Oryctolagus cuniculus: one gene and its partners. Each later gene encodes a partner of the first gene's protein in a complex. Links are inferred from orthologs where the notes say so. Each region holds a gene or a part of one and is shown in the gene's direction. Other genes may lie near its edges.

Evidence for each region. The genes of interacting proteins can lie anywhere in the genome.
Region 2: KANSL3 (region 1) and PHF20 share a complex: the UniProt entries of both Homo sapiens proteins name them as parts of the NSL complex. The link is inferred for Oryctolagus cuniculus from reciprocal best matches to the Homo sapiens genes KANSL3 and PHF20.
Region 3: KANSL3 (region 1) and KANSL2 share a complex: the UniProt entries of both Homo sapiens proteins name them as parts of the NSL complex. The link is inferred for Oryctolagus cuniculus from reciprocal best matches to the Homo sapiens genes KANSL3 and KANSL2.

Annotation. Positions count from the first base shown.
Region 1 is NC_091433.1:111,109,761-111,117,298, forward strand, and holds part of KANSL3 (KAT8 regulatory NSL complex subunit 3), read left to right. Parts: intron 1-2,706; coding exon 2,707-2,770; intron 2,771-3,143; coding exon 3,144-3,344; intron 3,345-3,557; coding exon 3,558-3,714; intron 3,715-5,731; coding exon 5,732-5,809; intron 5,810-7,082; coding exon 7,083-7,256; intron 7,257-7,538. UniProt on the Homo sapiens protein: Non-catalytic component of the NSL histone acetyltransferase complex, a multiprotein complex that mediates histone H4 acetylation at 'Lys-5'- and 'Lys-8' (H4K5ac and H4K8ac) at transcription start sites and promotes transcription initiation.
Region 2 is NC_091442.1:22,324,672-22,332,209, reverse strand, and holds part of PHF20 (PHD finger protein 20), read left to right. Parts: intron 1-2,958; coding exon 2,959-3,057; intron 3,058-3,663; coding exon 3,664-3,828; intron 3,829-4,285; coding exon 4,286-4,464; intron 4,465-7,538. UniProt on the Homo sapiens protein: Methyllysine-binding protein, component of the MOF histone acetyltransferase protein complex.
Region 3 is NC_091442.1:52,171,250-52,178,787, reverse strand, and holds part of KANSL2 (KAT8 regulatory NSL complex subunit 2), read left to right. Parts: coding exon 1-92; intron 93-843; coding exon 844-1,022; intron 1,023-1,429; coding exon 1,430-1,544; intron 1,545-5,607; coding exon 5,608-5,771; intron 5,772-6,335; coding exon 6,336-6,502; intron 6,503-7,538. UniProt on the Homo sapiens protein: Non-catalytic component of the NSL histone acetyltransferase complex, a multiprotein complex that mediates histone H4 acetylation at 'Lys-5'- and 'Lys-8' (H4K5ac and H4K8ac) at transcription start sites and promotes transcription initiation.

The DNA of each region.
Region 1 (7,538 bases):
TCATTGAGATGCCTGTTATTCCTTTACAAGGCTAGACATGTAGGGCCTTTAGTTGTTTTTTTGTTTTTTAAGGTTTATTTATTTGAAAAGCAGCGTTAGAACGAGAGAGAGGTCTTCCATCTGCTGGATCACTCTCCAAATGGCCACAGTGGCCAGGTCTGGGCTGGTCCAAAGCCAAGAACCAGAAACTTCTTCCAAGTCTCCCTCATGGGTGTCAGGGGCCCAAGAATTTGGGCCATCTTCCTCTGCTTTCCCAGGTGCATTAGCAGGGAGCCGGATTGGAAGTGGAGCAGCCGGGTCTTGAACTGGCACCCCATGGGATGCTTGCGTCATGGGCAGCGACTTTAGCTGCTATGCCACAATACTGGCCCCTTGTCTTTCTTTCTTTTTTTTTTTTTAAGATTTGAAAGAGAGAGAGATCTGGTTCACTTCCCCAATGGGCCACAGCAACCATTTGGGCTGGGCCAGGCTGAAGCCGAGGACCTGGGACCTGGGCCATCTGCTGCTGCTTTTCCCAGGCCATTAACAGGGAGCTGGACGGATTTGTGGAGTTGGAGGGGGTGGGGGGTGTCTTCCATCCGCTGATTCACTCCCCACATGGCTGCAACAGCTGGAGCTGGGCTGATCCAGAGGCAGGAACCAGGAGTTTCTTGAACTGGCACCCACAGTGCCAGCCCCTAGTTGTTGGATTTTCATAAAATGTACTAAAATAGAGATCATTTATTTGGCCTCCTTTAAAAAAAATTATATATATATATATATAGTTTTTAAGGATTTCATTTATTTATATGAAAGGCACAGAAAGACAGAAATCCTCCATTTACTGGCTCATTTCCCAAATGCCTGCAACATCTGGGACTGGGCCAGGCAGAAACCAGGAACCAAGAACTCAGCATAGGTTTGCTGTATGGATGGCAGGAACCCAAGTACTTGAGCCATTACCTGCTACCTCCCAGGGTATACATTAACAGGAAGCTGGAATCGGAAGTGGAGCCAGGATTTGGGGTGCAGTGTCCCAAACAGGCTAAACTGCTGTACCAATCTTCTCTGGCTTCCTTTTTTTACTTTCTGTTTTTAAAGATTTAATACATTTATTTATTTTCTTTGAAAAGCAGAGTGACAGAGAGGTCTTAAATACACTGATTCACTCCCCAAATGGCCATAACAGCCAAGTCTAGGCCAGACCAAAGCCAGGAGCCAGGAACTTTATCCAGGATTCTCATGTGAGTGGCAGGGGCCCAAGTACTTGGGCCATCTTCTGCTGCCTTCCCAGGCACATTAGCAGGGAGCTGGATAGGAAGCAGAGTAGCTAAGACTTGAACTGGCACTATAATATGGGCTGTCTTTGGGGTTGGCACCTCCAGCCTCCTTTTTTATCACTCAGTTAGATTAGTTTTAGGTTTATGTTCTAACTACAGAGCTTAAAGCAAGTCCAGGCTCCCAGGTGTCAGTCTTTTTAGGGATGTTTTGGAGAAGTCGTTCAGCTTTTGTCATTTGCCAGCTTCTTAAGAATTTAGTATCAAGGCTTTTGAAGCTCAAGGAAATGTTTTCATTTAAATACCTTGTTTTTCATGGCCATTTAAGCCTTCTTATCTAACTGTGGAATGTGACACCATTGAAAACTATTTAATAGTGTTCCTACTGTGGAACCGTAATCCATGCGGTGAGAACCCAGGTAAAATGTAACACTGTCCCTTAGTAGACTGTGTTGAGTTGCTGTGAGGGAGTCAGTGTGATGGGAACACAGCTGAGGACTGAGAGGCCTCGTTATTCTTGACCTCTTATTTAGAAGCTTGGCTTCTGCCACTCACGGTGCTCATCTGTAAAATGAGGTTGTTGGGGCTGGCCCCATGCTCACTTGGTTAATCCTCTGCCTGTGGTGCCAGCATCCCATATGGGCGCCAGGTTCTAGTCCCGGCTGCCCCTCTTCCAGTCCAGCTCTCTGCTGTGGCCTAGGAGGGCAGTGGAGGATGGCCTAGGTGCTTTGGTCCCCGCACCCGCATGGGAGACCAGGAAGAAGCACCTGGCTCCTGGCTTCGGATTGGCACAGTACCGGCTGTGGCAGCCATTTGGGGAGTTAGCCAACAGAAGGAAGACCTCTCTCTCTCTCTCTCTCTCTCACTGTCTATAGCTCTACCTGTCAAATTAAAAAAAAAAAAAAAAAAATGAAGTTGTTAACAAGATCAGAGGCCAACAGCCAATCAAATCAGATGTGAGTTAGGAGGCTCAGCAACTTCCTGCCCTCATGGGAAGCTAGGGATTTTATGACTAGCTGGCGAAGGGGGAATGCAGCGGCCGGGATCGTTTTCTCTTACCCCTTTAGTTTGTGGCCACCTTTCCTCCTCTCTGTTAATCCAGTTCAGCAATTCGCAGTATTCGGGGGGTTTGGGGGCTGTGTTGGGGACCTCAGTGATACAGGTACTGTTTGTCAGTGAAGCCATAGGTATGGGCCTTCTGGGGTGGATAGTTGAGGGTGCCATGCTTGATTTTCATATTTGTTACTGGTCGTTCATCATGCCATGAAGAGACTAATCCGTCCCCATTTTGCAAATGTGCAAACAGATCCAGAGCTTAGCCTGAGGGCCCCCTTAGCATTTCTTCCTGGGCCTAGGAAATAACCAACCCAAAAAGGAAGTCCATTCTTAATCCCATGGATTACCATGGATCGTTTAAAACAGAACCCGTTTACTCCTTTTTGTCTCTTAGAATAAGCAAAGCAAAGAAGAAATCAGAAGGTTTGACTCAGAGCATGGTGGACAGATGTATTCAGGTAAACACCTTTTCTCCGCTAGGCTTGTGTTTTAGATTTAGCCTTGTTGGCAGCAGCTTTGCTGAGGGGTAACTGGGCCCTCTGGTAGGTAGAAATCCTACGCAAAGCAGAAAGAAGAGAAGGAGAAGAGTGGTGAGCTGAGGTGTGAGTGAGGCGCTGGGGAGAAAGGGAGTGTTGGAGGAGTGGTAGAGTGCACCGTGCCCCAGTGCCTCCCAGTGCCATGGCTGCCCCAAAGCCAGCACAGGCCTGGCTTCACGTGAGTGAGGACTAGCACATCTGGGTGCCGAAGCCAAAATGGAGTTGATTTTAGTTTGAAATAAACAGGGAGGCTCCTGTACTCCAGACGAGGTGTAATAGGCTGGGTTTACACTAGGATGAAATTGTGGACTTCCTGACTGGAGTGCTCACTCGCGCTGAGGGGCACGTGGGCTCTGAGCCTCGGGATCAGGACGCTGAGAAGAAGAAGAAGCCTCGTGATGCCACACGTCGAGACCTGGCCTTTGAAGTCTCCGAGCGGGGCAGTCGACCTGCTTCCCCTGCCGCCAAGCTGCCCGCTTCACCCTCGGGCTCAGAGGTAGTGTGGGCAAGGGAGGAGGCTGGGAGGGAGTACTTTGGCTGGGGAATCTGAGCTGCGGACTTGGTTCCTTAGTTTCTGCAGATGCCTGTCTACCGTGTCAGTGCTGTAGGCCTGTGCGTCCCTGTCGGGGGAGTTCCAGGGGAACGTGCTGACTGATGTGTGACTCCAAATGACTATCTGCTTGTATCTTGACCTTTTTTCTCTACTTAGGATCTCTCCAGTGTGTCCAGCAGCCCCACCTCCAGTCCCAAGACCAAAGTGGCCACAGTCACCTCTGTCCAGAAGTCCAGTCAGATTGGCAGCTCTCAGCTGCTCAAGAGACACGTCCAGCGGACAGAAGCTGTGCTGACCCACAAACAAGCCCAAGGTAAAGGCTCCTGGTTCAGTGGTGCTCTTGGGTTCAGTCTTCTGCAGTTGATGCCACGTAGCAGTTGGAATACATTGGCATCTGCAGCTTTTTCAGGGGGATAAGAAGTACTTTTCCCCCATGTTTCTGTCCAGACAAAGTTAGGTTGAATTAATGCATTAGTAGTGCTTTGTGCTTGCTAGTTCATAGCTTTTCTGTCTTGTTGTTCTGGAGAAGTTGAGCTTTGTGAGCTGCCTACATGGATATTGGCCTGACTACTAATTGGGGATGTTCTTTTTTTCTCCCAATCACTCTTGCAGTCAGGGAGCTCTCCGAAACAGGATGATTGATTTTATCCATCAAATTCCAAGGCAACTCAACTGGTGTCATGCCCTTTCTTTGTCTTGCTCTTAGAAAGTAGATTCCCGGCTGGTGCCGCGGCTCACTTGGCTAATCCTCTGCCTGCGGCGCCAGCACCGTGGGTTCTAGTCCCAGTTGGGGTGCCAGATTATGTCCCAGTTGCTCCTCTTCCAGTCCAGCTCTCTGCTATGGCCCGGGAGTGCAGTGGAGGATGGCCCAAGTGCTTGGGCCCTGCACCCGCATGGGAGACCAGGAGGAAGCACCTGGCTCTTGGCTTTGGATCGGTGCACCGGCCGTGGTGGCCATTTGTGGGGTGAACCAACGCAAGGAAGACCTTTCTCTCTGTCTCTCTCTCCCACTGTCTAACTCTGCCTGTCAAAAAAAAAAAAAAAGAAAGTAGGTTCCTGGGCTGGGACTGTCAGCAAAGTTTATAGTGGTTCTCTGCAGATAGGTTTTAGAGGGGGCAATAATATCTGTATAGTTGGAATTCATTTGAAGAGCTGCACATACTAAATAAAGGTAGAATTCAGTAGGTAAGAAAATGAAGAAACAGTGACTTCTGCCTGCCCCTTCTTTCATCCAGTTGAATGGCCTTCCGGCAAGGCCTCTTGAACATCATTTTTTTTTTAATATTTATTTTTTATTTATTTGAAAGGCAGAGTTACAGAGAGCCAGAGACAGAGAGAGGTTGGTCCTCCATCCACTGGTTTACTCCCCAGATGGCCACAACAGCCAGAGCTGGGCCTATCCGAAGCCAGGAGCTTCTTGGTTTCCCATGAGGGTGCAGGGACCCAAAGACTTGGGCCATCTTCTGCTGCTTTCCCAGGTGCATTAACAGGGAGCTAGATTGAAAGTGGAGCAGCCTGGACTCGAATCAGCACCCATATGCAATGCCGGCCCTGCAAGTGGCAGCTTTACCCACTATGCCACAGCACCTGCCCTGGGCATCAGTTTCTGATGGTACATTCAAGAACATGTATTGCTGGAGTTCTTAGGAGTGCCTGGGAGGAGGAAGTAGGTGGAGCTGGCTGTAGAACAGATATGGAGGTGGTGTAGGAGGCGGATCTGCCAGCTTCTGCTTTTAGAGTTCAAGTTCAACTGAAACCCAGGTCTCTTGTGAGGCTGCTCATTACAGTGGTGCTAACAAAGAACAGAAGTGTAAGTAGACAAATGAAGGCTAACAGGAGACCAGTGCCCTACATCTGTATGGATGCTCCGTGAACTGGATTTTCTTGAGTGTTTAGTGGGCAGTGTCCCCTTAGACTTTTGGTAAAGGTAGAGCCTGCTGTGTATCTTGGGGGAGGATCAGTCAGGAATCTAAGGAGTTCTGAAAGGCTGACTGATGAGCTGGATTGGAAGCAGGACCCCAGCGTCCCAGTGAAAAGCAGCAAGCAAGGGCTAGTAGCAGCTAACTTACTGGAGCCCTTAACTCACTGTGCCCTCTTCTTGGGACTTGCTTGCCATGGCTTGTCGAGTCTGGACAGCAGCCACATGTTGCTACCTCCGTTTATGGATGGTTCCTTGGAGCTACTCAGCGAGTCAGGTTTCAGACCCGGGCAGGGACAGAAAGAGCCCCTGCGACCAGTTTCTGGAACTTTTTCATCTTTTTCTTATTCTGTCTCTCTTTCTCCTTTTTCTGGCCGGCTGTGATTCTGTAATTCTTTCTGATTCATTCCAGCACAGTTTGCTGCTTTTCTGAAACAAAATATGCTGGTGAGGAAAGCTCTTCCTCCTGGCACCTCCTCCTGTCTCTTTGGTGAGTATTACTCTCTCTCTCACCTTTCCGCCGTCTGCTCTCTGCTTTATTCCCACCCCTCTTGATTCTGTCCTGTCTCTGCTTCTCATCTGCCTCTCTCATCTGTTTGATTTCCTCCTGTTTGCTTCTCTGAGCTTTTCCCCGTCTACAGATGCTTTGTCTTGTATCTCCATTCTCTCTGTTTGCTTCTGTGTGTTTTCCTTGTTTGCCTTCACTGTAGCTCCTTCACCTTTGTGTGCCTGTGGCCCATTGCCTGAGAGCCTGAGTTTCCCTGTGTGCTCGCTCCCTGCTTGTTTCCATGCTTCCACCCTGCCAGCTGCAGGCACACTAACCACTCAGCAGAAGAAACCTGCGGCTCCTTCGCCCTCCCCGTTCCTTTCTGCTCTGATTCAGCGAGTACATTTGTCCTCTCCACAGTGCCATTCCACAGTAGCTGCCTGTGCCCTGGTCATGGCCCCATGCCTGGATCCCCCTCATGCTTGTGTGGCTGCCTTTCTCCCCACCTCCACCCCTGGCTGCCTGTGCGAAAAAGGGCTGGGCGACTTCTGGGTTGAAAGCCAAGGACATTTGTGAGGACTCCTGAAGGATAACTTGCAAGTCCAAGAAGCTGGGCTGTGGGCATTATGATGTGTGAACAGATAGCCTTTCTCTGTACTTGTACAGATGACCCAGGACCACCTTTAGGAGCTGTGAGGCTGCCAGGGCTTTGAGCCTCCCTCCCCCAGCCTGAAGTCCTGGAGGTTGTCCTCCTTGCCCCCTTTGGCAAGCACCCCTCAGCCCGGGCTCTAAGGACAGAATGGGACTCCTCACAGTCTTGTGAAAACTCCCTGTTAGAAAGGACTGGGTGCTCCTCTGTGGGTTCTTCATGGAATGTTTATTGTCTCCTGGCTGAGTGATGACATGGGGGATGGCTTGGGACAGGAGAGTGATCACACTGTGTAGATATACTTTAGTGAGTCCTCCATTTTTATTCTTGCTGTGGCTTTTGCTAGACAGATGTCTTCTGTCTTGTTCCTACCAACTCTGGGCCTCTTCCCTTCCTTTCTTCAAAGGCAGAGTGAGAGATGGGGATGGGGCCATTCTTTGAGAAGGGCAAGGTGGGCTTCAGCTCAGGCAGACCTCATTGAAGTGGACTGAAACGCGGGTCGTCTCTTGTGAAATGTGGCCTAAGGGTGGGTTGATCTTCCTGTGTGTTCCCGTACTGACCTTGACAAACAGTGTCCACCAGGCTTTCTTGGACTGTGCAGAATCTCACCTGAGCTCCATCTCTTAGTTCCTATTTCATCAGAACCAACAGAGGAGGCAGAAAAAGAAGATCTCCGAGTCCAGCTGAAGCGACACCACCCCTCCAGTCCTCTGCCTGGCAGTAAGGCCTCCAAGCGACCAAAGATCAAGGTGTCCCTTATTTCCCAAGGGGACACTCCTTCCCAAGGAGGAGGTGCTGAAGGTGAGTTTCTCGAGCCTGTTTAAACCCGAGTGGACCTGGCTCTCCCAGGACACAAAGTGTTGCTTCCTGGTGGCTCTTCTTGGAGCAGGCAGCTCAGCCTCTGCTTCAGTGTGAGAGAGACCTGGAGCAAAAATGGCACATTAATGGCAAGGGGGCATTGACTTCCAGGGACCGAGGGTGCCGAGGGGTCGTTCTGAGCATGGCATGTAAATATGTATATTTGTTTTGAATAGAGATAAAATATTCCAAAAAAGTTAGAAAATAGGAGAAGTTACCCTAATT
Region 2 (7,538 bases), on another chromosome or scaffold:
TTAGACAGTGAGAGAGAGAGAGACAGAGAGAAAGGTCTTACTTCCATTGGTTCACCCCTGAAGTGGCCGCTGCGGCTGGCGCACTGCACCAATCTGAAGCCAGGAGCCAGGTGCCTCCTCCTGGTCTCCCATGCGAGTGCAGGGCCCAAGCACTTGGGCCATCCTCCACTGTACTCCTGGGCCACAGCAGAGAGCTGGACTGGAAGAGGAGCAATTGTGATCTGGTGCCCCGACCGGGACTAGAACCCGGTGTGCCGGCACTGCAGGCGGAGGATTAGCCTAGTGAGCTGCAGTGCCGGCCTAAAGTATATAAGTATTAAGTGGTAAAGGCACTGGCCTAAAGTATATAAGTATTAAGTAGTAAAGGGATCTTGTAAGACATCTGGCAGTACAAAATCAAGGTTCTGGCCAGTGGGGAAGGGCTTTGACTCTGATAGGTCAGTCCTCAGATATGCTATGGGATGTTATGTGTCATGGTCATGGTAGAATTTCTTCATTTTTCCTGCATTATTCATTAGAAATACAATGTATTTTTAAAATATGAAAAGAAGTAGGGGAAACATTTTATATTTTAACTTGCTCCAAAATACAGTCAATAATGGACCCCAAATGTGACAGTAATCCCTTCTGATTACATTGCCTCCTGACATTGTAACTTTCTTAGTTTGTGAAGTACACTCTACAGTGTTTGCTCACTGGCAAAATTGTCTAACAGTGTGCTTCTCAGAATGCATTCCCAGTGTTAGACCAAGTGGGGCTATGGTACTGTCTCAGCATGCAGTCAGTATGAAAACTGCCAGTGTGTTGTTTTACACCTTTATTTATTTATTTATTTATTTATTTATTTATTTATTTTGACCGGCAGAGTTAGATAGAGAGAGAGAGAGAGAGAGAAAGGTCTTCCTTCCATTGGTTCACCCCTCAAGTGGCTACTATGGCCGGCGCGCTGCGCTGATCCGAAGCCAGGAGCCAGGTGCTTCCTCTTGGTCTCCCATGTGGGTGCAGGGTCCAAGCACTTGGGCCATCCTCCACTACACTCCTGGGCCACAGCAGAGAGCTGGCCTGGAAGAGGGGCAACCGGGACAGAACCAGCGCCCCAACTGGGACTAGAACCCGGTGTGCCGGTGCTGCAGGCAGAGGGTTAGCCTATTGAGCTGCGGCGCCAGCCTGTTTTACACCCTTTCTACTGAATCTTTTAAATCCTTAATGAACATCTCTGGTCAGGCTGGCCACATTTCAGGTTCTCAGCATCTGTGTGTGGCTACTGACCACTGAATGTATTGGACCACGCAGTTGAGGTCCACACAACTATGTTACCTCAGCTGCTTTTCCCAGGCTCTAAATTAGAAGTGGATCACCCAGGACTCAAACCAGTGCCCAAGTGGGATGCCAGCTTCATAGGTGGTAGCTTTACCTGCTATGCCACAATGTTGACCCCTGCTTTTTTTTTTTATCCCTGTTTTTACAAAATCTATTTATTTATTGGAAAGGCAGAGTGGCTGAAAGAGGAGAGTGTGCACGCGATGGCGCTTCATCCCGTGGTTCAGCCCCCAGATGCCTACAGCTGCTAGGGTTGGGCCAGGCCAAAGCCAAGAGCTAGGAACTGCATCTGGGGGTCCCTGGGTCATCACCTGCTGGCTTCGCAGGTGCATTGGCAGCTAGTTGGATGGGAAGCAGAGTAGCTGGGATGTGAACCAGCACTGTGATATGAGTTGCCAAAGTCCCAAACAGCAGGTTAACCTGTTGTGTCACAGCACCCACCCCTGCTTTCTGTTCCTGAGATTAGTTGTCATTTTCTAGGACATTTTATAGATAGAATCATGTAGAATGCACTAGTTTTGTCTGGCTGCTTTCACTCAGCCGACTTAAGAGATTCCCTTATGTTCCTGTATCTATTGATGGGTATATTCTTCCCCAGTTAATGCACATTTGGGCAATTTTCAGTTTGGAGTAATGACACGTGAAGCTGCTATGTCAGTCCCTATGTAGATATATGTTAAGCTCTCTCCTGGGTAGATCTCTCCAAGTGGAATGGCTAGGTCATAGGATATTCGTATGCTCAAACTCTTGTTGAAATCTAATAAGTGACATGTGATGAATTACTTGAAATGCCACAGTTGTGTTTGATGACATGGAGGAGAAACAGCTAGATTTGTTAATAGGGAATCTACTAAATTTGAACACTTGTCTCAGAGTAATAGGTGAGAGCTTTGTAGAATGGAATTAGGAAAAGTCAAAGGGAGAACTTTGGACAGGGAATATTGATAACTTAAAGAGTTTTGCTCTAAGGAGTAGAGAAATTGATGTCGTATTTGGAAGATGTGAACTGTTCACATGAAAATGATTAATTTTATGTTCTATGAATTATGCCTCAATTAAAAAAATGAAAAAATTTTGAGGTCTGTGCCACATCCCAAGCCAATTAAGTCAACATCTCTGAGAGGGGGCCCTGACATTCAGGTGGTTTTGTTTTGTTTTTGTTTGTTAAGATTTTATTTATGTATTTGAGGGGTAGAGTTCAGACAGAGGGAGAGACAGAGAGAAGGTCTTCCATCCACTGGTTTGTTCCCCAGACAGCCTCAATGACCGGAACTGAGCCAGTGCAAAGCCAGGAGCTTCTTCTGGGTCTCCCACATTGGTGCAGAGGCCTGGCCCAGCCTGTGCTGTTGTAGATATTTGAGAAGTGAACCAATGAATAGTTCTCCATCTGACTGTTTCTGCCTTTCAGATAATATAAAAAATAAAGTGAATAAAAAAAAGGCTAAGTGATGGAGGAATGGCTCTGCCCCAGGCAGCCATCTCAGGAGCCCTCCAGGGGAAGGAAGGCGACTTCTCAGGCAGAGCCAGGCCAAGAACCAGCTACCCTGCCTGTGCCAGTTCTTCCCGTTGGATGTGTTTCATCCAGCATTAAAGACAAAACATTAAAATGTCAGCACTTAAACTCATGTTTAATTCTAGCTGCAAAAGACAAGGAAAAGAATAAAGAGAAGAAGTTCAAAGAGTTTGTGAGAGTGAAGCCAAAGAAGAAGAAGAAAAAGAAAAAGAAAGTCAAACCTGGTAACTCTTCCCTTGAGGGTTTTGCCTGGGGGCTTCCTCACCATGGGGGCGGGTGCTGTCTCCTGTGGTGGCCTCTGAGGCTGCTCTGGGGAGAAGCAGGACCAGCAGGCCTGTCCCAGGACTTGCGTGGGCCCTGCGAGGAGGTGCCGCCTGGCATTTATGGAAGCCTCCCACTTTCTGTGCTGGCCAGCATGCTCTGGTGCGGTGCTGTCAACACAAAGACATCCAAGTACTAGAGGATGTGCAGATGAGTGACTGCACTTCATTCATAGCTCTTAAACATCCGTCTACACCCATCTGAACCCTTTCTAGAAAGGATTTGCTCCTTGAAAAGTGTGTGTCTAGCCCCCAAAGAGATGTGCAAGAAAATCTCTTCCACCCTTGAGAGTTAAAGGGATGCCATATTTTGTTCTCAGTGTGTGTTTTCTGGCTTACAAAAAGGGGACACGGGGTAATAGTGAAAAGGAAGCAGTTGGGATTGAGATGCTCAAGGGTAGCTGCAAATCTAAATCCCTGGAACAGGCCCTGTTGGTTGGGAGAGATCGACTCTGTGTTGCCCTGGTGATATCTGCAGTTGCTCATTCCTTCCTGACGCTGTGCTTCCAGAATGCCCCTGCAGTGAGGAGATCAGTGACACCTCCCAGGATCCTTCTCCACCCAAGGCGTTTGCTGTCACCAGGTGCGGGTCCTCACACAAGCCTGGCGTCCACATGAGCCCTCAGCTTCACAGCTCAGAGTCTGGAAACCACAAAGGGAAAGTGAAAGCATCTGGTAAGGAGGCTCTGATTGTGTTGCGGATCCTTGGCTTAGACCACTGTCTGCCGCAGCAGGTGTGACGTTAACTGTTCGGGCATTGTACTGGTTCTGATTCTTTCTGCAGTCTTCCCCTGTCTCCTTCCCCACTGTGTGCAGAACTTTACCAGTATCTCTTGACGAAGGCCAACTGGGAGCCAGGGCCTGACAGGGTGGGGTGGGAGTCGTGCGTCCTCTGACAATGAACGGCTACTAGCGCGGGCTCCGTTCTCTCAGTGTGATGAGGATACAGAGCGCAGTGTGGTGCCACCACGCAGCATGCTTTTGGAGGGGGGGGGGGGGGGGGCTGTTACGAGAGGACAGGCCTAAGGAACAAAGGTCCCCATTTCCCAGCCCGTGAAAGCTCATGGAGCTTTACTTTAAATGGTGCAACTGTAATGTACAGTAATGCCTGTTGTTTTCCTTTTCCTCCCAGAGGAGGATAATCTGAGTGAGTCGTCTTCTGAGAGCTTTCTTTGGAGTGATGAGGAGTACGGCCAGGATGTCGATGTGACCACCAACCCGGACGAGGAGCTTGATGGGGATGACCACTATGATTTTGAAGTGGTCCGCTGCATCTGTGAAGTCCAGGAAGAGAATGACTTCATGATTCAGGTAGGTAGCGCTCCCAGGAACAGGTCCCTAGGGGGAGTTCAGCCCCGCAGCAGTGACGAGTCACCTCAGAAGCCCCAGGGAGAGTATGAACAGCAGCAGACTGCGCTTTGTTTCTCCTTTCGGCTCCTCGGGATCCCAGGCTGCCCTTAAATAGCCCATAATAGAGTGAAAGAGGACCTGGGGAATCCTTGAACCTAACCTTGGGCTCTGTGTGAGCCGGGTGGGACCTGCAGTGGGAAGGACCTTGCCTCTCTTCACACCGTGAGGAGGGGAGCAGCAGGCACTCACCTTTGGGAGTGGCCCAAGCCTCTGTACAGCCTGTGGAAATGGAGGCTGGTTTTTTAACATAGTTTCTTGCTCTATGTTTTCCTGACATGCGTGTCTGTCATCTCTAAATCTGGGAGGAGCCTTTGGAGTGAGTTTGCCCTACCTGCTTGGTGAGACCCTCCCTGGCTAGCACCTGCTGGCCTCTGGCCCCTCTTTTCCTGTTCATTGCAGCTGTTCTTCATCTGGTTGCCTCCAAGGGCTGTTGTAAATACCCCAGGAATTCCTGACAGTTCCCTGGCTGGCCAGGGAATCTGAGTGTTTTTTTTTTTTTTTTTTTTTTTTTTTTTTTTTTTTTTTTTTTTTAAGTAAGTCATGGTTCAATTAGTTAGGATTCTTTTGGGGTGAATATAAGTATTGCTGGGAAAATAGCCTGGGACTTGGAACCCGGAGAAAGCTGCCAGGCTCAGGAACCTGGAATTCTGTCTTGCGGTCAGTCCACTTTGTCTCCTGCTTCTCCCCACAGCTGATTTCATTCTTTTTCTTTTTGCTACTTGGCTTATTTTCTTGTAAAATGATCATTCATGACCCCTTCCCCTCTCACCAGTTTTACATTTTTGTGTTTATGGGACAACTTACGTCAAGTGAGGTTGTGATCTCAACCCCAATCCTGAATTCCTGGGTAAGGTGTAGGTTAGATAATAGCCTTAGACCAGAGTGGGAAGAGGTTGGTCCTGGGCCAAATGCTTCCCCCTGGGTTAGTCGTCTGATCTGTTGGTGGATGATAGAGTTTGGAAGTGTGGGCAGCCTTGTGTTGTATAACAATGCTGCCTGGGGCCTGCCTCTGTTACTGTGTGCATGGAAGTAGGGGTTGGAATGGCTACCCCCTTGACCCAGTCTGTTAAGATTATGAGAAAAACACCTCAGCCCTTGGCTTGCTTTCTGTGTTAGAATGTTATTTCCTTGTCCTGCAGTGCTGTGGACATCAATTTTGGAGGTTCACCTATGGGTCTTGATCTAATGCACACTTGCATTTTTGCCTCTTTATCTTTCCATTTGTCTTTTGTATTCAGCAATCCCCTCTGCTTTGGGGGCTTTACCTTTGTTCTTCAAATCTTTGGAGAAATCAGAGAGTGACTAGGTACACTTGCTTTTTCACTTTTTATTTTCCTAGTGCTTTTTAAAAATTTTTACTTTGAAATAATTAGATTCATAGGATGTTGGGAAGAAACATACAGGAAACCCATGCACTCCTCCTCCACACGCCCTCCTGTGCCAACAGCACACACAAACCACAGCCCAGTGCCAAAACCAGGAAATTGACATCGGCACAATTAACAGAGCTTATTCAGAGTTCGCCAGTTAAATACATGTACTGTGCACATTTGCATGTGCAAGTGGCTGTGTAGCCTTTTGTAGTCATTACCACAGTCAAGATACTCAGCTGCTCTGTCAGCACAAAACTCCTTCATGTTACCCCTCGTTAGCCAGCCATTCGGTCCTTTTTTCCCTTACCTCTAAGCCCTGGAAACTACTAACCTGTTTTACATCTCTCTTATTATGTAATTGTACGACTGTTGATGGATGGAGTTATGTGGAATGTATCTTTTCAGTGTAATTTTCTTGAGATTGATCCATGGCGTATGCATCAATAGTTGACTTCTTTTTATGGTCCGGTGGTGTTCCTTGGCATGCATGTAGCTTAGTAATGTTCTCTCTCTCTCTCTCTTTTTTTAAGATTGACTTATTTATATTTGAAGGGCAGAAAGAGCATGAGAGAGATCTTCCACCCACTAGTTCACTGCTCAAAGAGCTGGAATGGCTGGGGCTGGGCCAGGCCGAAGCCAGGAGCTAGGAGTTTCTTTCTGGTCTCCCTCATGGATCAGGGGCTCAAGGACTTGGGCCATCTGCTGCTGCTCTCCCAGGCGCACCAGCAGGGAGTTAGATTGGAAGTAAAGCAGCCAGGACTGGAACTGGTACCACTATGGGATGCCAGCATTGCAGGTGGAGGCCTGGCCTTCTATGCCACAGTGCCGGCCCCAGTAATGTTCTTTGTGTTCATTGTAGTGACACTAAATAATGGTTTAACATTTCTGGAATATTTTCAAAAATACCATTTTACCTCTAGCCAGGCTGTTGCAAGTCTTTGGGAAAAATTGGATAAACTAAATTATGAAGATGCATTTTGCTCATGGTTGGAGAACCATTAAATATAGAACCATTAAATGAATTATCAGGTTATTTGAACCCAGGATACCCAGTCAGATGTTCTGTCCCTAGTTATGGGGATTTACATTTATAATTGAGAAATGAGACAAAAAATTGTTTTTGAAATATAACAGCACTGTCTAAGCTAGCAGACTCACCTTTCCTTACCAGTGTGCAGGCACAGGAGCCCACACATGGACAGTCTCACTCACACACACACACACACACACACGCGCACACGCTCTCTTTCTCTCTCTCTGAGACACACACACACACACACACACACACACACACACATTCTCTCTCTGTCTGTCTGTCTCTGTCTTTCTCTCACACTTTTTGGGTTTAGGGAGTGTCTTTCTTTTTTTAGGAGCCTACATATTAACCTCTGGGACTCAAGGGTGCATGGAAGGTCTCCTTGATCACCTGACCTTTCTGGTTTTCAGAATACCTTGGTTCAGTGGTTTCCAAACTTTCTCAGCATCAGAAGCCCTTTCCCAACAGACTCTGTCACAGAAGCCCAAAATGTCTAACAAGTAAAACAGAGGTTTCAGAAGTTCGGTGTGGATAATCTTCATGTTTCAGGTCAGGAATGTAGGTGG
Region 3 (7,538 bases), on another chromosome or scaffold:
AAGAATGCGCCCTTCAAGCAGTGCAGTTACATCTCGACCAAGAATGGGAAAAGATGTCCCAATGCTGCCCCGAAACCAGAGAAGAAGGATGGGTATGCAGACTTGTGCCTCTTAGGGAATGTGCTGGGATGTTGGCTTCTGCATAGCTGTGGAGTTTTCGGTCACGCCCTTGTGAAACCGGGCTTATGCATATATCCTTGGAAAATTACTAAAATCGTGAAAACCGGAAACACACTGGAATCACTTAGTTCAATTTGGATCTTTCAGTCTATTGAAATTACTTTCAATCTATCTTGAAAATGAAGGGAGTCTTTCCCCTTTTCTTGAAAATGAAGGGATGCTGAAAATTACTGTTACTTTGGGGTGTATGGCTCTTTGGTGTGTCTGTGAACTTTGTTAAATAATATGCCGAATTGTGTGTGTGTGTGTGTATAATCTGGAAGAGGCTTCATGACTTCAGAGGCGTCCCTGCAAAAATATAACTGGGGTTGTTCATTTGTATATATTCTCTAATTTAAAACTGTGTGTTACATCTTATTAACCTGCAGTGGATTGGCATTAAAATGTGCCTTCCGGAACCAGTATTGAAAGATGAAAAGTGAATCTCTTTGATTTGTTTCTAGATGATGTCAACATTTTTATAGTTGGAATGTTTTGTTTGCTGGTTGGAATGCTGGGTTATGTTATCTGCATTTTCCTTTAATACAATTAAGTTGATCTCGGGCCAGTTAAATTCCTCTGACTCATTGGCTTTTTGAAGTGAATAAAATAGTCCTTTGAATTGCTTAAAAATGCTTTGAGGATCAAGGACTATGGTGAAATACTGGTATTTTGTCTCCTTAGGGTGTCCTTCTGTGCGGAACATGCCCGCAGGAATGCCCTGGCGCTTCATGCTCAGATGAAGAAGACCAACCCAGGGCCTGTGGGTGAAACACTCCTGTGCCAGCTGAGCTCATATGCCAAGTCGGAGCTGGGCTCCCAGACTCCAGAAAGTAGCCGCAGTGAAGCCAGCCGCATCCTGGGTAAGGGCCTTTCCCTGTAGTGGAAAAGGGAAGGTAGTGCCTTGAATGTGCTGGCAGTATTGTTAATTTATTGGGAATCTGGTGAGAATTCCAGGATTGCTATGTTCACCAACTCTTTCAAATCTGAAATAGTGTTGCTTTTGGTTTGTTTTCCTGAGCTGGTGACTCTTCCTTCATTGCTGTTTTTATGCTCAGCACTTTGCTAGGTTATTTCAGGAAAGAATAATAATTTTTTAAGTTGACTTTTTTGGACCTCTTGAGTTGTAAATAATCTTATCAGCACTCTATACTTGTGTTTTTATTTGCCAGTGCCTGTGTATTGAGTTGATATGTTAAGTAACCTAGTTTTGTGTGGTGGAGTTACAGAGGTGGGAAGTCTTATGGCTGCTCTCCCTCCCTTGCCTCAGATGAAGACAGCTGGAGTGATGGGGAGCAGGAACCCATTACTGTGGATCAGACATGGAGAGGTGACCCTGACAGTGAAGCTGATAGCATAGACAGTGATCAAGAAGATCCCCTAAAGTAAGTTGTAACTCCACAAAAGCTTTTGAATGTTTTATCTAGTTAGTATGTGGAATGTAGTGCTGCATGCTGTTAATTCATTAATAACCTTAGGAGGGGGGCAAGATGGCTGTTGTGAGCAGTGATAGCTTCGCATATCGTGGTTCATCACCATCTTGCTTCAAGGCAGGATGAAATTCATTTTTAGAAGTCTTGTAATTTAGAAAAAAATTTGAACACTAGATTCTGTACATAAGAAAAGAGGGGAGAAAAGAGGAAATTTCATGAGAGTGGGTGGTGGGTTGAGAAATTCTTAGTGTGGATTAGAGAAGAGAAGATGGGTGTGAACAGATTTTTGGCCTAAACCTCAGGAATAATGAGGTGATTCTACTGGAGTAATAACTACTTATTTTGTAAAACTCTGTGTTTATGGATTTTTAAAAAATTTTATTTGGAAGACAAAGAGACTGAGATCTCCCTGCCTGGCTTAATCCCCAAATGTTTGCAACAGCTGAGGCTGGGCCAGACTGAAGCTGGGAGCCAGGAACTTGATCTGGGAGTCCCAGGAGGATGGCAGGGACCCAAGTAATACTTAAGCTGTCACCTGCTGCCTCTCAGGGGAAGCTGGACACAGTGAAGCCAGGAATTGAACCCAGGCACTCTAATATGGGATGTGGCCGTCTTAACCGCTGTGCCAAACCCCTGACCCAGCTTACATTTTTTCTTTTTCTTTTTTTTTTTTTTTTTTTAAGATATTATTTGAAAGGCAGAGAGGGAGAGAAAGAGAGAGAAGCACAATTTTCCATCTGCTGATTCATTCCCTAAATGGCCTCAACGACAGGGGCTGGGCTAGACGGAAGCCAGGAGCTTCTTCTGGGTCTTGCATGTGGGTGCAGGAACCCAAGCACTGGGGCCATCTTCTGCTGCTTTCCCAAGTGCATTAGCAGGGAGCTGGATGGAAAGTGAAGCAGCTGGGTCTTGAACCAGCACCCAGATTGAATGCTGGCATTGCAGGCAGAGGCTTAACCTGCTATACTGCAGCAGCAGCCCCATTTTCTTTCCTGTTTAAAAAATATGTATTTATTTGGCAGGCAGGTCAAGAGAGAGATGACTGCAACAGTCAGGAGCTCAGAAACTCCATCTGGGTCTCCCATGTGAGTGGCCAAGGCCCAAGCACTTGGGCCATCTTCTGCTGCCCTCCCAGGCCATTAGCAGGGAGCTGGATGGGAAGTAGCTAGAACTTATCCTGGCACTGTGATACGGGATGATGGCATTTTAAGTGGTGGCTTAACTTGCTGCGTCACAGTGTTGCCCCTGGTGACATTTTCTGAGTAGAATGATTTCTTTCATTTCTGTTGAGTAATCTTAGGGTAGTCAGCTATTCAGGAAGTACTAGTTTAGAAAGTCCATCTAAGTTGTTTGAAAGAGAATGTTTCCTAGCAGGATTCTTTCACAGTAGTAATTAGATAGAACATGTTTTTGCCCCCGTTGTTATTCTGGGCGGCCAGACTTGCTTTACAGATGTGTGTGCTCTGTGCAGTCAGAAAATGCCTGACCTTTGATGCAGTAAATAAACTAAGCTTTGAAGGTCCAGAAATTTGATTTTGTCAGGAGAGTGGTTTAGTCTCTAGGGGACACATTCTTATACATTAATTCACAAGAGACTGCTGTATAATCCAGAATATCAGTCAATTTTATGAGAAGTAAAAATGCCAAAAGGACTAAGGTAATTGATAGCAGTCTCAAAGAAGAAAGACACTCAAAAGGGAAAATAAAGCTCCAAATATTCTTAACTGTTAGGCAACTAAATTATATAGACTCTGCTTAATTTTCCTAGTGAGGTTGTCCAAAAAGAATTTGATCCACTAAATACATGCAATTTTGGGATGTACATCGAGTTGTTAAATGTTATAAATTAATATGTTGACATTATTAGCTTATTAGTAGTGTGTTCATTTAATGAAGTACTTTTTATTTTCTTTATGTGTTCTTGATTCCTTTCTTCCTTGGACATTTTAAAAAAGATTTATTTATTTGAAAGGCAGAGTTACAGAGAGGCAGAGGCAGAGAGAGAAAAAGAGGTCTTGGCATCTGCTGGTTCACTCCCCAGATGGCCACAACGGCTGGAGCTGCACCGATCTGAGGCCGGGAGCTTCTTCTGGGTCTCCCACGCAGGTGCAGGGGCCCAAGGACTTGGACCATCTTCCACTGCTTTCCCAGGCCATAGCAGAGAGCTGGATCAGAGGTGGAGCAGCCGGGACTCAAACCGGTGCCCATGTGAGATGACGGCGCTACAGACGGCGGCTTTACCTGCTATGCCACTGTGCCGCCCCCCCTGCCCCCTTTTGTACAGATTTTGTTTATATGAAAGGCACAGTTAGAGGAACAAACAGGTTTTACATCCACTGGTTCACTCCCCAAATGGCTGAAATGGCTGGGGCTGGCCCAGGCTAAAGCCAGGAACCTGGATCTCCATCTAGTTCTCATCTCCCATGTTGGGTAGAAGAGGCCCAAGTACTTGGGTTGTCTTCCACTGCTCTCCCCGGTGCATTGGCAGGGAGCTAGATTGGAAGCAGAGCAGCTGGGACTCAAACTTGAACTGGCACTCCAGTATGGAGTGCCAGCATTGTAAGTAGTCTTAATTTGCTGTACCACAACACCGGCCCCCTCCCGTTTATAAAAATTATTTTGGCAGAAACTTGATTTCAGTCCTAAAGTTAATTTTGCTTTGTGTATTCTGGTGACTTAACAGCTATTTTTTAAGAGAACATAATTTTTTAACTTAAAATTAATTAGGTATGTGATTTTTTTGTATTACCAAATTTTGAATAAAGGAAATGTTTTCTCTGAAAATATGAAACTTAGTATTAAGGTATGGTGTATATTGAACTTAAGTTTTCTGTTAGTGTAATGGCCTGATAAGACTTGGTTAACCTAAGACCTTTAAAATTTGAAGTTAATCTTTTAATTTTGAGGTTTAAAAATCAGAAATAGGACATAGTTTTCAATGCATCAGTTACTGGCATGCTTTGAAGTTCTGTTTATAATTGGCAGCAAAGTTTAAAGTTGATATGGACCTTTGTGGATTTGGCTATTAAGGATTGACTTGGGATACTGTCAAGAAACTGCTGAGTAGTTTGTAGGCCATTTTGATTGTTGGTTAGGGGTCTGTGATAGCTCAAGTATCTTATATGCTTTTTTTTTTTTTTTTTAAAGATTTTATTTATTTGAGAGGTAGAGCTACAGAGAGAGGGAGAGGCCGGGAGAGACAGGGAGAAAGGTCTTCCATCTGCTGGTTCACTCCCCAAATGGCTGTGATGGCTGGAGCTGAGTCAGTCCGGAGCCAGGAGCTTCTTCTGTGTCTCCCATGAGGCTGCAGGGGCCTAAGCACTTGGGCCATCTTCTGCTTTCCCAGGCCACAGCAGAGAGCTGGATTGGAAGTGGAGCAGCTGGGACTCGAACTGGCACCCATATGGATTGATGGTGCTGCGGGCAGAGGTTTAACCTATTATGCTACAGCGCCGGCCCTGTCTGATAGGCTTTCTGAAAAATCAGAAGTTCCAATCATTTGTTATTGGTATCTTTTATACTTTAATTAAAGTATACTGATGCGTATGTAGACGTTCAGTCTACACTTTAAGATGTCCTGACTTGTTAGAGATTATTCTATTTTAAATGGTTAAAGCACTGCAACCATGGATTCACGCCTTCACTTTTTTGATTATTTCTAAAGATTTATTTATTTATTTATTTTTTGAAAGAGAAGTGGGTAGGAGATCTTCTATCCACTGGTTCACTCCCCCAAATGGCTGTAACAACCAGGGCTGGGCCAGATGAACACCAGGAGGCATGAACTCCCATGTGAGTGGCAGGGCCAAATATTTGGGCCATTCTCAGCCCCCATGCACAATAGTAAGGTGCTGGGTTGGGAGCTGAGCAGTTGGGATTTGACTTGGTACTCTGATACAGAATGCTGGGGTTACAAGCAGCAGCTTAACCTGATGTGCTATAATGCTGGCTCCTAAGCTTAGGTTTTTATTACAATGTTTTCTTATGCTTTGCTGGAATCTCTGTTTTATTCCAGACATGCTGGTGTCTACACAGCTGAAGAAGTGGCCCTGATTATGCGCGAGAAGCTGATTCGTTTGCAGTCTTTGTACATCGACCAGTTTAAACGACTTCAGCATCTGCTGAAGGAGAAGAAGCGCCGGTACTTACATAACCGCAAAGTGGAACATGAAGCCCTAGGCAAGTCTTATGCCAGTACCACAGATGTTGTGGATTCAGCATTTGGATTTGGTAGTAATTAGATTTATTTCTGTCTTAGTACCTGCAGTGGGGGAGAATTTGCTTTTGGGATTGCTTATCTTATAGCCATTTCTCTCTCTCTCTCTCTCTCTCTCTCTCTCTTTCTCTCTCTCTCTCTTTTTTTTTTTTTAAAGAGATTTATTTATTGTTTGAAAGATTACAGAGAGAGGGAGAAAGATCTTTTGTCTGCTGTTTGACTCCCCAGATGGCTGCAATGACCAGGGCTGGGTCAAGCCAAAACCAGGAGCCAGGAGCTTCTTCCTGGTCTCCCACATGGGTGCAGGGGCCCAAGCACTTGCTTCATCCTCTGCTACTTTCCCAGGCACATCAGCAGCGAGCTGGATCAGAAGTGGAACAGCTGGCACTCATGCTGGTGCCCATATGGACTGCAGATAGCAGTGCCACAGCACTGGTCCCAAGATTTTCCTCTTTTCTTGTTGATTAGCAGACATATCCTTTGTGGATTGCTTGGCAAATAACATCTTGACTCTTGGGACTTCCCAGGTGGTAGTCTCCTGACTGGCCCAGAGGGACTTTTGGCCAAAGAACGTGAGAATTTGAAACGATTAAAATGTCTGCGGCGGTATCGCCAGCGCTATGGAGTCGAAGCGTTACTACACAGGCAGCTGAAGGAACGCAGAATGCTAGCCACAGATGGGGCCGCTCAACAGGTGATTTTACGTAGGGGTGGGGGAACCTTTTTTTCTGTCAAGGGCCATTTTGGTATTTATAACGTCATTTGTGGGCCATCCAAAATTATCCAGTTAAAAATTAAGTCTGCTGTAGGTTTACTCAATTTTGAGTCCCACATATAGTTGCCTTGACAAGGCCAGACCAAATGATTTAGTGGGTGCTATTTAGCGGCCAAGTATTCCATATTCCTGCTTTAAGGTATATATATAGCCCCTTTATTTATGAAGTTTGGAGTGTTGTCAAAATACTATATCCAATCCTGGCTCTGTAATCTCACTCACTAGACTTAGATTGTAATGAAGGCACCTAACCAAGATGTCAGGAGACATGGGTTCCAATCTTAGTCCCCTTCTGACTACTCCTGTGATCACATAATAGCTTAACTTATCTGCAGATTTATTATTTGGGATAGATCTCTAATCTTCAGTTCAGAAGTAAGCATAGGTTAAGCCTAACTTGCTTGACAATCTTGTTATAAAGAGTGGGAAAATAGAACAGAAGCAGTTGAATGTAAGGAAGTTAGGTTTATAAGAAGTGATTTTTTTTTTTTTTAAGATTTATTTACTTATTTGAAAACCAGAGTTAGAGAAAGAGAAGACAGGTCTTCCATCCATTCGTTCACTCCCCAAATAGCTGCAATGGCCGGAGCTGAGCCAGTCCAAAGTCAAGAGCCAGGAGCTTCTTCCAGGTCTCCCATGTGGGTGCAGGGGCCCAAGGACTTGAGCCATCTTCTGCTTTCCCAGGTGCATTAGCAGGGAGCTGAATTGGAAGTGGAGCAGCTGGGACTCAAACTGGTGCTCATATGGGATGCTGGCACTGAATGGGGCAGTTTTACCCACTGTGCTACAGCGGGTAGATGTGCTACAGTGCTGGGCCCATGATCATTTTTTTTTTCTTTTTGCCAGGCAGAGTTACACAGTGAGAGAGAGAGAGAGTTATAGACAGAGAGAGACAGAGAGAAAGGTCTTCCTTCTGTTGGTTCAGCCCCAAATGGCCGCTACAGCTGGTGTGCTG